Regions from separate parts of the Mus musculus genome. Here regions 2 and 3 are each reported to be linked to region 1. The links are microRNA targets in miRTarBase. Many come from high-throughput screens and were not tested one by one. Region 1 holds a microRNA gene; each other region holds the end of a gene's coding sequence.

Evidence for each region. The annotated mature microRNA mmu-miR-1187 reads UAUGUGUGUGUGUAUGUGUGUAA and lies in region 1 at 2,712-2,734, shown strand. An mRNA with a match to its seed (bases 2 to 7 or 8) in the 3' UTR can be bound and repressed. Matches are read on the target gene's strand: a 7mer-m8 pairs with bases 2 to 8, a 7mer-A1 pairs with bases 2 to 7 and ends in A, and an 8mer does both.
Region 2: miRTarBase lists Cd200r1 as a target of mmu-miR-1187. Seed matches in the 3' UTR shown: 7mer-m8 at 1,004-1,010.
Region 3: miRTarBase lists Lin7a as a target of mmu-miR-1187. The part of its 3' UTR that is shown has no 7-base or 8-base seed match.

Annotation. Positions count from the first base shown.
Region 1 is chr5:82,797,339-82,801,697 of GRCm38, reverse strand. Mir1187 (microRNA 1187) reads left to right here and starts at 2,633; the gene lies at 2,633-2,754.
Region 2 is chr16:44,793,746-44,797,745 of GRCm38, forward strand. Cd200r1 (CD200 receptor 1) reads left to right here. Exons shown (of 7, transcript NM_021325.3): 7 at 455-1,232. The coding sequence ends at 595. Among named protein-coding and RNA genes, the nearest start is that of Cd200r4, 25 kb to the right of the region's middle.
Region 3 is chr10:107,411,542-107,415,900 of GRCm38, reverse strand. It overlaps Lin7a (lin-7 homolog A (C. elegans)), which reads right to left. Exons shown (of 6, transcript NM_001039354.1): 5 at 3,730-3,948. The coding sequence ends at 3,730. Among named protein-coding and RNA genes, the nearest start is that of Myf5, 72 kb to the left of the region's middle.

The sequences.
Region 1 (4,359 bases):
TAAAGTTTGTGTGTCCAAAGGGCCTCTCTTTTCAGTGATGGCCGTCTAGGCCATCTTTTGATACATATGCAGCTAGAGTCAACAACTACGGGTTACTGGTTAGTTCATATTGTTGTTCCACCTATAGGGTTGCAGATCTCTTTAGCTCCTTGGATACTTTCTCTAGCTCCTCCATTGGGGACCCTGTGATCCATCCAATAGCTGACTGTGAGCATCCACTTCTGTGTTTGCTAGGCCCCGGCCTAGTCTCACAAGAGACAACTATATCAGGGTCATTTCAGCAAACACTTGCTAGTGTATGCAATGGTGTCATCGTTTGGAGGCTAATTATGGGATGGATCCCTGGATATGGCAGTCTCTAGTTGTTCCATCCTTTTGTCTCAGCTCCAAACGAGTAGTTATTAAGAGCTGGAAATGGACAAAGAAAACTCAGTTCAGTTATCATGGACAGCTGGGGAGTTCCAGTAATACTGTACCACTAAGATAAAACTAGTTAGGACATGGAGCTTGGATAAAGAAAAGAATCCCAGGTTAACTTAAGAAGAAGAACAAGTCTAGGGAAATTACTGTGATATGATAATGGTAAGGAGATCCTAACTTCGGAATCTAATTGGATTATCTTGCCAGCTGACAGTCAAAATACAAACTTAGTCATACTTGGTCAAACTTGACTAGGTACTGTCAATATTCTCTCTCTCTCTCTCTCTCTCTCTCTCTCTCTCTCTCTCTCTCTCTCTCTCCCTCTCCCCACCTCTCTCTCTCTCTCTCTCTCTCTCTCTCTCTCTCCCTCTCCCCACCTCTCTCTCTCTCTCTCTCTCTCTCTCTCTCTCTCTCTCTCTCTCTCTCTCTCTCTCTCTCTCTCTCCCCCTCTCCCCACCTCTCTCTCTCTCTCTCTCTCCTCCTGTCCTGGGGTATATAATCTTTGCAAGACCAAGGGCCTCTCCTACCATTGATGGCCTACTAGGCCATCCTCTGCTACATATGCAACTACAGATATACTCTCAGGGGTACTGGTTAGTTCATATTGTTTTTATCCTATAGGGATGCAGGCCTCTTCAGCTCCTTGGGTACTTTCTCTAGTTCTTTCATTGAGGCCCCTGTGTTCCATCCAATAGATGACTGTGAGCATCCACTTTTGTATTTGCCAGGCACTGGCATAGCCTCGCAAGTGATAGCTATATCAGGGTCCTGTCAGCTAAATCTTGCTGGCATATGCAATAGTGTCTAGGTTTGGTGGTTGTATATGGAATGGATCCCCAGGTGGGGCAGTCTCTGGATGGTCCTGTTTTCAGGCTCTGATCTGATCTTTGTCTCTGTAACTCCCTCCATGAGTATTTTCCCCCCTTCTAAGAAGGAATGAAGTATCCACACTTTGGTCTTCCTTCTCCTTGAGTTTCAAGTGTTTTGCCAATTTTATCTTAGGTAGTCTTAAGTTTCTCAGTTAATATCCACTTAACAGTGAGTGCATATCATGTGTGTCCTTTTGAGATTGGGTTACTTCACTCAGGATGATATCCTCCAGATATATACATTAGCCTAAGAATTTCATAAATTCTTTGTTTTTAATTGCTGAGTAGTACTCTATTGTGTAAATGTACCACATTTTCTGTATCCATTCCTTTGTTGAGGGATATCTGGGTTCTTTCCAGCTTCTGGCTATTATAAATAAGGCTGCTATGAACATAGTGTACCATGTGTCCTTATTACAAGTTGGAACATCTTCTGGGTATATGCCCAGGAAAGGTATTGCTGGATCTTCTGGTAGTACTATGTCCAATTTTCTGAGGAACCACCAGACTGATTTCCAGAGTGGTTGTACCAGCTTGCAATCACACAAACAATGGAGGAGTGTTCCTCTTTCTCAACATTCTCACCATCTGCTGTCACCTGAATTTTTGATCTTAGCCATTCTGACTGATATGAGGTAACATCTCAGGGATGTTTTGATTTGCATTCCCCTGATGTTTAAGAATGCTGAACATTTTTTCAGGTGCTTCTCAGCCATTTGGTATTCCTTAGTTGAGAATTCTTTGGTTTAGCTCTGTACCCCATTTTTAATAGGGTTATTTGATATTCTGGAGCCCTTTTTCTTCAGTTCTTTATATATATTGGATATTAGCCCCCTATCTGACTTAGGATTGGTAAAGATCCTTTCGCAATCTGTTGGTGGCCTTTTTGTCTTATTGGCAGTGTCTTTTGCCTTACAGAAGCTTTACAATTTTATGAGGTCCCATTTGTTGATTCTCGATCTTACAGCACAAGCCATTGCTGTTCTGTTCAGGAACTTTCCCCCTGTGCCCATATCTTTGAAGTTTATCCCCACTTTCTCCTCTATGTGTTTCAGTGTTAGGTGGAGTTCCTTGATCCACTTACACTTGAGGTTTGTACAAGGAGATAAGAATGGATCAATTCGCATTCTTTTACATGCTACCTGCCAGTTATGCCAGCACCATTTGTTGAAAATGCTGTCTTTTTTCCACTGGATGGTTTTAGTGCTCTTGTGAAGTTCAAGTGACCATAGGTGTGTGGGTCCATTTCTAGGTCTTCATTTCTCTCTCTGTCTCTCTCTGTCTCTCTCTGCCTCTTTCTTTCTTTCTTTCTTTCTTTTTTTTTCTTTTGTGTGTAGTATCTGTCATATAGTATTAAACCGAACTGTTTTCCTTATAGACACAATTTATTTTTACACACACACACACACACATATATATATATATGTGTGTGTGTATGTGTGTAAATAACAATGTTAAAATAGTAATGAGCCATGCTTAAGATCTGAGCATATGTAGCCTTCCACTGTGATACTTTTCATTTCCTGATATTTTCTGGTGATCTCACAAAGAAGAGTGTAAGATTATTTACCAAGAGAACATCCGAACTCCCTTAACTATTCTGGGCTACTTTTTACTTTTATTTTGCAAGCTCTAATTGTACTTAATTCCTGGCAATCACCCTATGATTTCACTTAAATCTCTATTAGCAAAACTTTGAGATATCCTTCAGTTGTCAGTATGGTAGCATAAGGCTCTTACAAAAAAATTAAGCTGATTCCCGAGAAGTCAACATTCAGACATTGGTGCAATCTTTTTCCCTAATAATTATTTTTTCTAATCAAGCCTGTGTTTAAATTTATGTTACAGCATTTCCTCAACACAGATCAACACTTCTTGATAATGGTTTATTTTAAAGTTAATTTTTATGACCAAAATACTGGCTTCACTTTAGTTGAGGTACAAAAACATTAAGTTCACATTTTAGCATTTTTTTCTCAGATACTATAAAAGATTGATAAGGAATTAAAATATTTTCATCTCCCCATCAATACAAATGCTAAATTCACCACTGAGTTAAAACTTTATTTGCATAAGATCCCTGCTTAATATTAGACCTTAAATGATTAGGCTGTTGACCCCTTCCAGCTTTCCAACTTATTTTTTTCACTTCTTTTTTTTTAAGATTAATTTGTATATTTTATCTATGTGTGTATACTTCTGCTCTCTTCAGACACACCAGAAGAGATTCCATTACAGATGGTTTTGAGCCATCATGTGGTTGCTGGGAATTGAACTCAGGACCTCTAGAAAAGCAGTCAGTGTTCTTAACCAAGCATCCATCTCTCCTGCCCCCCTCCTTTTTGTTTTACTTCTATTCTTTTAAATATATCAATCATGAAAGACTGAAATGATACCTCTGCCAATGGGGAAGCAACACAGCCATCATCTCTGTTAGAATAAAAATCAAGAGGAGTATGAGCCTGACTATGAACCTGGCTTTTGTTCCAGGACAAAGCATGTTGCATAAGCAATTGTCTTGCTTTCTTTCAAGATTATTATTTGATTCTTACAGAGGTCTCTGAGAACTCAGACTGTACAGGAGTTAGGATAGTGCTGACTCCAACCTAAGAACCTTAACAGTGTTTATTCATAGCAGGGCTTTCAAAATCAGAGTCAACTCTCAAATATTCCTTCACTGAGCAATTAAACTTTAACATTTTCAGTCCTCGTGATGTTGACGATTTTCATCAGTGAATTCTGTCCTTAAAAATTTTGTTTTGCTCATTCATCACACATTTGTTGAAGTTTTCCATATGTCTATGTTAATGAAAAATTTATTCTAGCTAGCCCATATAAATGACACAGAAACGTGGTATTTTATTTATGCACTTCTCCTGGCCACTTGCTCATGGTCCAGCTCCATGGATCACAGCCTTCCCTCTCCATCTTCCTCTCTTTCTCACCCATAGTCTCTCTAGTGACCCCTCACTTAATTTCCACTCAAGCCATGCCTTCCTCTCTCTTCTGCCCATTCACAGCCTCTAACTTTTAATTAAACAATAGCTTTAAATTGAGGAGCAACATTTAC
Region 2 (4,000 bases), not on the chromosome of region 1:
TCATCTGATAAACTGTATCTTAACAACTTTGCCAAATTTGGATTGTAATCTCTGGAGAAATCCAGTAGATGTTTCCTTCTCCATGAAACAGTGTCTAATTCTCCACTTCCCCATTTAAACACCACTATAATATTTCTCTTATCTAAGCTTAAAGCAGCCTGCTCCTTAGTCTCCTATGACCAGCTTCTTATTTTCTTTGACTCATTCTTTTGAAATACTTCTTATATCACCTCATTCCTCTACATGTCTATATTCACCCAACAACCATTTCACACAAAATATAAATAACCATCAAATGTTTGTGATAGATTATTAGAACAAAGCCTTGATCTTCTGAGGCAGATAAACAGTTTTAAACATTATTAGTAGATGCTAAATGTGGTAGAAACTTGGGTAATTTTGGTAATGATGTCTAGCTCTTTTGAATGGATTTTAACTTTGAGCTTTCTTCAAGGATGAAATGCAGCCTTATGCTAGCTATACAGAGAAGAGCAATCCACTCTATGATACTGTGACTAAGGTGGAGGCATTTCCAGTATCACAAGGCGAAGTCAATGGCACAGACTGCCTTACTTTGTCGGCCATTGGAATCTAGAACCAAGAAAAAAGAAGTCAAGAGACATCATAATTACTGCTTTGCTTTCTTTAAAATTCGACAATGGAAGGACTACTTGGAAATTAGCTCTTCCAAAGCTATTAAAAAGCACAAATGTTCTAATGAAATTGCATTTAAATTCTATCATTGGAAGTTTGGAATCTCTGCTGCTACCTGTTAATTTTAGGAAGAACTGATTTAATTATTACAAAGAAAGCACATGGTTATGGTGAAATATCAAGTTGTGCAATAAAGTATGATGAAAACTGAGTTTCCTCAAGAAATAACTGCAGGAGGAACAATCATCACTAAAGAATTTCATGTGAGTTCTTACAAAAAAATTCCTATGTATACATGACTATGGTATGTGTGTCCAATTACATGTTTATTTACAAATGTGTATATATGCACACATTTGCTTTTCAGGACATCTCCTTGTAAAAAACACACTGGAGTTTTGGATTTATAAAAGCTTATAAAGTGAGCATTGGAGATATTTTTATATCAGCATAAGTAAATCTACCTCATTCTTTTTAATGGCTACATAGAATTCTCCTGTATGATTACATTGTAATTTAATTAATCATGGCCCTTGGATTTTGTGTTGTGTGTGGTATTAAACAAAACCATGTAGAATATTTGTTGTGGTGAATCTCTGCATTATTTGAGTGCACCTGTGAGATAATTTCTTTGAGTGTAATGGTCCTGTCAGTTGGAATGCATTTTTATTATTATTTTTTTCCCATTTTTATTAGGTATTTAGCTCATTTACATTTCCAATGCTATACCAAAAGTCCCCCATACCCACCCATCCCCACTCCCCTACCCACCCACTCCCCCTTTTTGGCCCTGGCGTTCCCCTGTACTGGGGCATATAAAGTTTGCGTGTCCAATGGGCCTCTCTTTCCAGTGATGGCCAACTAGGCCATCTTTTGATACATATGCAGCTAGAGTCAAGAGCTCCGGGTACTCGTTAGTTCATAATGTTGTTCCACCTATAGGGTTGCAGATCCCTTTAGCTCCTTGGGTACTTTCTCTAGCTCCTCCATTGGGAGCCCTGTGATCCATCCATTAGCTGACTGTGAGCATCCACTTCTGCGTTTGCTAGGCCCCGGCATAGTCTCACAAGAGACAGCTACATCTGGGTCCTTTCGATAAAATCTTGCTAGTGTATGCAATGGTGTCAGCGTTTGGATGCTGATTATGGGGTGGATCCCTGGATATGGCAGTCTCTACATGGTCCATCCTTTCATCTCAGCTCCAAACTTTGTCTTTGTAACTCCTTCCAAGGTTGTTTTGTTCCCACTTCTAAGGAGGGGCATAGTGTCCACACTTCAGTCTTAATTTTTCTTGAGTTTCATGTGTTTAGGAAATTGTATCTTATATCTTGGGTATCCTAGGTTTTGGGCTAATATCCACTTATCAGTGAGTACATATTGTGTGAGTTCCTTTGTGAATATGTTACCTCACTCAGGATGATGCCCTCCAGGTCCATCCATTTGGCTAGGAATTTCATAAATTCATTCTTTTTAATAGCTGAGTAGTACTCCATTGTGTAGATTTACCACATTTTCTGTATCCATTCCTCTGTTGAGGGGCATCTGGGTTCTTTTCAGCTTCTGGCTATTATAAATAAGGCTGCTATGCACATAGTGGAGCATGTGTCCTTCTTACCAGTTGGGGCATCTTCTGGATATATGCCCAGGAGAGGTATTGCTGGATCCTCTGGTAGTACTATGTCCAATTTTCTGAGGAACCGCCAGACTGATTTCCAGAGTGGTTGTACAAGCCTGCAATCCCACCAACAATGGAGGAGTGTTCCTCTTTCTCCACATCCTCGCCAGCATCTGCTGTCACCTGAATTTTTGATCTTAGCCATTCTGACTGGTGTGAGGTGGAATCTCAGGGTTGTTTTGATTTGCATTTCCCTGATGATTAAGGATGTTGAACATTTTTTCAGGTGCTTCTCTGCCATTCAGTATTCCTCAGGTGAGAATTCTTTGTTCAGTTCTGAGCCCCATTTATTAATGGGGTTATTTGATTTTCTGAAGTCCACCTTCTTGAGTTCTTTATATATGTTGGATATTAGTCCCCTATCTGATTTAGGATAGGTAAAGATCCTTTCCCAATCTGTTGGTGGTCTTTTTGTCTTATTGACGGTGTCTTTTGCCTTGCAGAAACTTTGGAGTTTCATTAGGTCCCATTTGTCAATTCTCGATCTTACAGCACAAGCCATTGCTGTTCCCCTGTGCCCATATCTTCGCATTTTTATTATTAATAGATCAGTCAAGCTGTCAGTTTACATTTTCTCCAATTGTGTTTGAATGTGCCTTTCTTCATATTCTTATTATTATTCTTATTCTTATTCTTATATTTTTATATTCTTACTTTCACATTTATACTTTCCATGTTTAATTAACCAGATGGGTGATATGTCTTACATTTATGATATTGACTCAATTATTTAATGGAACTGGACTCATATCTTTGTCAACATGAGAGAGACAGGAAGCATTTGTAATGACAGTATTTTCAACTCTTTGTATTGCTACAAAAGTGCTGCCATATCATGCACAACAGTTTTATGGACATTATGAATTGTGCATTTTTTTTAATTTTTAATTTTTTTTTGGTTTTTTGAGACAGGGTTTTTCTGTGTATCCCTGGCTGTCCTGGAACTCACTCTGTAGACCAGGCTGGCCTTGAACTCAGAAATTCACCTGCCTCTGCCTCCCAAGTGCTGGGATTAAAGGCGTGCGCCACCATGCCCGGCTTGAATTGTGCATTTTAAAAATTCTATTCTGATGTAATTATCAAAGAACAACTGTCTTTGAACTATATGTGTAGGTGGGAGAACTTGGAGAACTTTACATGCTAAAAGGATGGTAATGGGTTGAAAGTAACTTTTCCCTCCATTGTTCTTTGGATGGAAATATTGGGAGTACATATATTGGTAACTTTTAGCATATATATTTTCATTGTTAAAAATAAGCCTGTTCTCTTTATATCAGAAAAACTATTAAAATAGATTTATTCATCTTATTTTGTTTGCTTTGTTATTTTGAGATGAGGAGTTGATTTCTAAGGTAGTTCTACAATCACTCTAGAGCCCAGTCTGGCCTCCCAATGGCTATGGTTACAAATGTATGGAAGGATACTTGCACAAGTATTTTCATTATGATGTAATGATAGAATTAAACCAAGACCCATTCACTCTTCACATGTCCCAACTGAGACATTTAAGGCAATTATTTTGTCTACTAAAATATTTTTCTTTCCATTTGGGAAAATTACCTCTTTTTCTTCTTCCTATTCCTTCCACCCTACCCCACTACTTTGAAAGTTATGCATTATAACATATATGTATTCATGGCTAGGTTTTTGTGGTGGATTAAATAGGTTTGG
Region 3 (4,359 bases), not on the chromosome of region 1:
AGGATCAGGCGTTGGTCTCAGGATGTTTTTTTGGAAAATTAATGTCTGAAAAGTGTTAGTGTTCCTCTTTTTTTTTTTAATCCTTGAAAATCAGAGTGAAAATCCAAATGCATACATGAAGTCATGTCTTAAAACTAAACAAATCCATATAAACCAAATAAACATAGCACTTTCTCAAAAAGCATGCTATGTGATGGCCAGCCCTATAATCATATTTTCTGTTTGGATTTCTTTAATGTAATGGCAGAATATTCCTGTTTTTGCATTTTTGGAAATGCAATCTAGTCTTCTCACTTAACAAACACAGAAGTGAGAATGAAAAACAGATTTTAGTTCAGCAGAATTTAAAACTCAAGAAGGTATAAAAAGACAATTCTCTCCTGTATGGCTTACATTCAATATGGTTTTCTTTTTTATCTGCTTCCCGCTTGTAGTGACTTCATAATATCTATATTCTCAGCACATACTACTTCTTATTTTGAAAGCATTACATGTTCTATTTCATTTGATACATAGTGAGATGGTCTTCTGACAAGTATTTTGATTATGTGGTCTTTGAATGTAGACCAAAAAAAATTCAAGATTTGTTTCCAGTTGAATAGATTTGGTAAGCCTGAAAAAAATATAAAAAACCAACTAGTATAAATTATTAAGTGTTGTAAGTCTTTTTTGACCCTCTAAAGATCAAGTTAATAAAAAATTAAGCAAGAGCTAATGTAGGTCCTTTTGACTGAATTCACCATAAAATCCATGGGTGACATGCCTTTGGTAAGTCTTGATTGTTCTTCACATGATCATTACCATTTAATCTCAAGGGGGTAGGCACTGTGCTGTACAGTAGCTCTCTTGATGGGCATAGATACAAAGGTCATGTTCAAGCGAACATAACTCTACCACATCCTACGTACACAACAAGATAGGACAGGTTTTTTTTCTGATTAAATATGTAAGTCTTGGTAATGGGCCATAGGAAATCCTGAGGTGACTTAATGAAGACTGAACAGGGAATAGAAATACAAAAGGCTACATATGACCAAATTGTGTATTTCCAAAGATAATGGGAGGAGTAAAACATGGCAGTTTTCAGTGAGGTCTAAGAGATCAACCTGTTGCTTTCAAACTACCCCTGAGCACATTTACTCAGGGCTAATGTCATAAATAATTCTGGAGAAGAGGGATGAATAGCTTGCATTACCAGGGATGGAATAAACAATAGTACTAGCAGAAAGAATATTAGGGATACATCAGAGATTTCCCCTATTATCCAGAGGACTTTTGTTAGGATGCTTGTGGTACAGAATAGGTAACTAAGGAGAAGGCTTTAGGCTAAATGACTTGCCTATTAATGGTATCTATTAATGGTGTCTGTCCCAACCTCATCATTCTATTCTAAGCCATTCCATCTCTCTCTATTTCATTTATGACCCTGTAATTCTCCATTGTCACAGAAGCCAAATTATTCTTTTAATTTAATTTATTCTCTCATATATTATGTCCTGACCACAGTCCCCCTCCCTTCATCTGTCCTCCCACCTCCTCTATCACCCCCATCTCTTTTCCCAATCTGTTCTTTCTCCTTTTCCCCCTCAGAAAATGACAGGCCTCCCAGGGATATCAACTAAACATGGCAAATTAAGCTGCAGTAAGATTAGGCAATGATCCCCCTCCCCCAAACTACCACTTGTGTTGAAACTGGACATGGAATCCAGTAGGAAGACAAGGGTCACAAAAACAGGAAGCCAAATTATCTTAATGGCACATAAATCAAATCATGCCACCCTTTGGCTTAAAAATCTTGTCCTCCATTACAAAAACATTAATTTCTCTTAGTGTTGCTAGGCTTTCTGTACCCAGTCCCTACTTGTCCTTTTGACTTCATAATCCACCACTATCATTATTACTCATTATTCTCAGCTCTCTAGGCTATCTGTTAGTTGTTCAAATATCAAAGAGCTCATATGCTACCATACTGGCTATTTTCTCTTATTATTTCTTTGGGTGCTTCTCCTACTCGGCTTCCTCTCAGATGCTATGTCCTTTGAGAGGGGTGTTCACCGACAACTGTGTCTAAGGTAGTCTCCATTCAAACAGCCTTGTTTTAATTTTTTAAAGTCCTGCTCTCAAAAGGCCGTTGGCTTATTTTCTTGCTTATTTATTAATTATCCCCTCCTAGCAGAATGTAGCCTCATGAAGAGAAGGTTACCCCTGGAGCTCCTGGACAGTACCTGGATGCAGCTCTGCCAAAGGACAAAGACATCTGATGTTGGGTTAATATACTTTTGGGGACGGAATATAATTAAAAAAAATATATGTATGTATATGTATTTTCTCATTCTCTCTCTCTCTCTCTCTCTCTCTCTCTCTCTCTCTCTCTCTCTTACCTATCTATCTTCCTATGTATTGTGTGTGTTGTGTGAGTGTGTGTACATCTACATGTGTCTAATGCTCATGTGTACTATGTGTGTGATGTACCAACAAAAGCCAGAAGAGGGCATCATAACTCCTGGAGTTAGAATTACAGGTGGTTGTGAGCTCTCTGGTGTGAGTTTTGGGAACCAAACCCAGGTCCACTGGAAAAGCATTAAGTGCTCTTACCTACTGAGCCATCTCTCCAGTCCCCAAATATACATAAAAACAAAAGAAAGACCAACAACCAAAAACACGCACTATATAGCTTTTCTTTTTCCACAAGTGTCATTAAAAAAGAAGCATGTCTCATGTCATGATCACTATTTCTGCTAAGCAAACAGTAAGTTTTCAGTAAGGAAAACTGAAAACCACCCAACATCTGTTGCCACTTTCCCAAGAACGTGTGAATGTCCTTCCCAAGACACACTTAAAGACATCCTGGTACACAAATGCATTCTGATCGAATTGATCTTTTCCAATGAATAGTTTGGCAAACATATAAAAATGACTTCAGAGGATCTGAGAGTGGCAGGAGGAGAACCCTGATTCCAAGCCACATGTCAATGGTGGCTGAAGGAAGCTTTAGACTGCTCATCCCAGAGATGTGTCTTTAATGGTAAATTTCTTGAAACGTTCTTCAGAGGATGAAGCGTTATGTGATGAGGGTGTCACTGACACATAGTAGGCACTTCGGGGGGGGGGGGACTTTTGATATTAACACATTTTTCTTCAGTTTTCTTGAAAATATCCACAAAACTGGATATGTATGTCACTGTGTTGTGCAGTGGGATTTGGGAGAAGGTAGGAGAGTCAGATAGAATTCCAACCCTTCAGTGTCTCACGCTGTGTTAACTGTTTGCTTTGCCATCGCACTCTTCATGTGCAACAACTTCTTAATCCACTGCATCTTTCTAATCTAAAGTAGCCAGGAATAGCACCATAGAGTAGCGCAGTTTGTATACTCCGTGAAAGTGACGACTAGCTAAGGGGATGAGTGGGGACTAGAATCACCTTGCCATTCATGTATAGATCTGGCAAAAAAAAAATAGCATTATCATAGTTTATAAACAGGCATCCTGGAGTTAGCAGGTACCTCTCCCATAGCATTATATTTTCCAAAATTATCTTCCATATGCGGAGACTGTAGCTGAATGACTCATGGAAACAGGACAACCTGTTTACTTTTTCGAATATCATCATCTTTCTTTCGGTTAATTGTCCTTGGGTGTTTACTATGCTTGGCAATTTTATGTTGGCTGACTAGGGCGACCGTTAGGATGTCAGGAGCGTGTACACGGGGAGGAGGAGGGTGAGTCTCACCTATGACATGTGGTTTTGTTGTGGTTGTTGTTGCTGCTGCTGTTGCTGCTGCTGAATGAGCAACTGCTGCTGCTGTCGACGCCGAGCTGTCCGCAGCTTCTCGAAACGAGCCTCCATCTCTTCCAGGACTTTTGGGGTGTATCTGACCACCAGCTTCACACTGTCCTTAGCAGCCTTGAGAAGTTCCACAGCTTTCTCATGGTGCTCCCCTTCCACACTCTGAGAAGACATGGAGAGAGTTCACTCATTTGTTTCCTCCAGGGACTAATCTAGGATTGTTATCCTAGTAAAAACCCAAACCTCTGACGCTTTTGTCCATAAATTCCAATACTTATAAGACTGAAATAGGAGAGTGGCTGAGAGTTCGAAGTCAGCCTGGGGTGCACTGTAGGCTTCAGGTCAGCCTAACATACGATGTGAAAACTGTATTTAAAAAAAAAAGTCAAAATCAAGGGTCTGGTGTTGTATGCCAGTTTGTAGGGTGCTTGCCTAACATGAAAGCTGCCCTAGGTTCTGTGTTCAATACCACATGCAACCTTGGTGGCAGATGCTAATCATGAGGCAGGAACATAAGGTGCTTAAGTCATATATATGGCTATATAGCAAGTTCAAGGTCAACCTAGGATACGG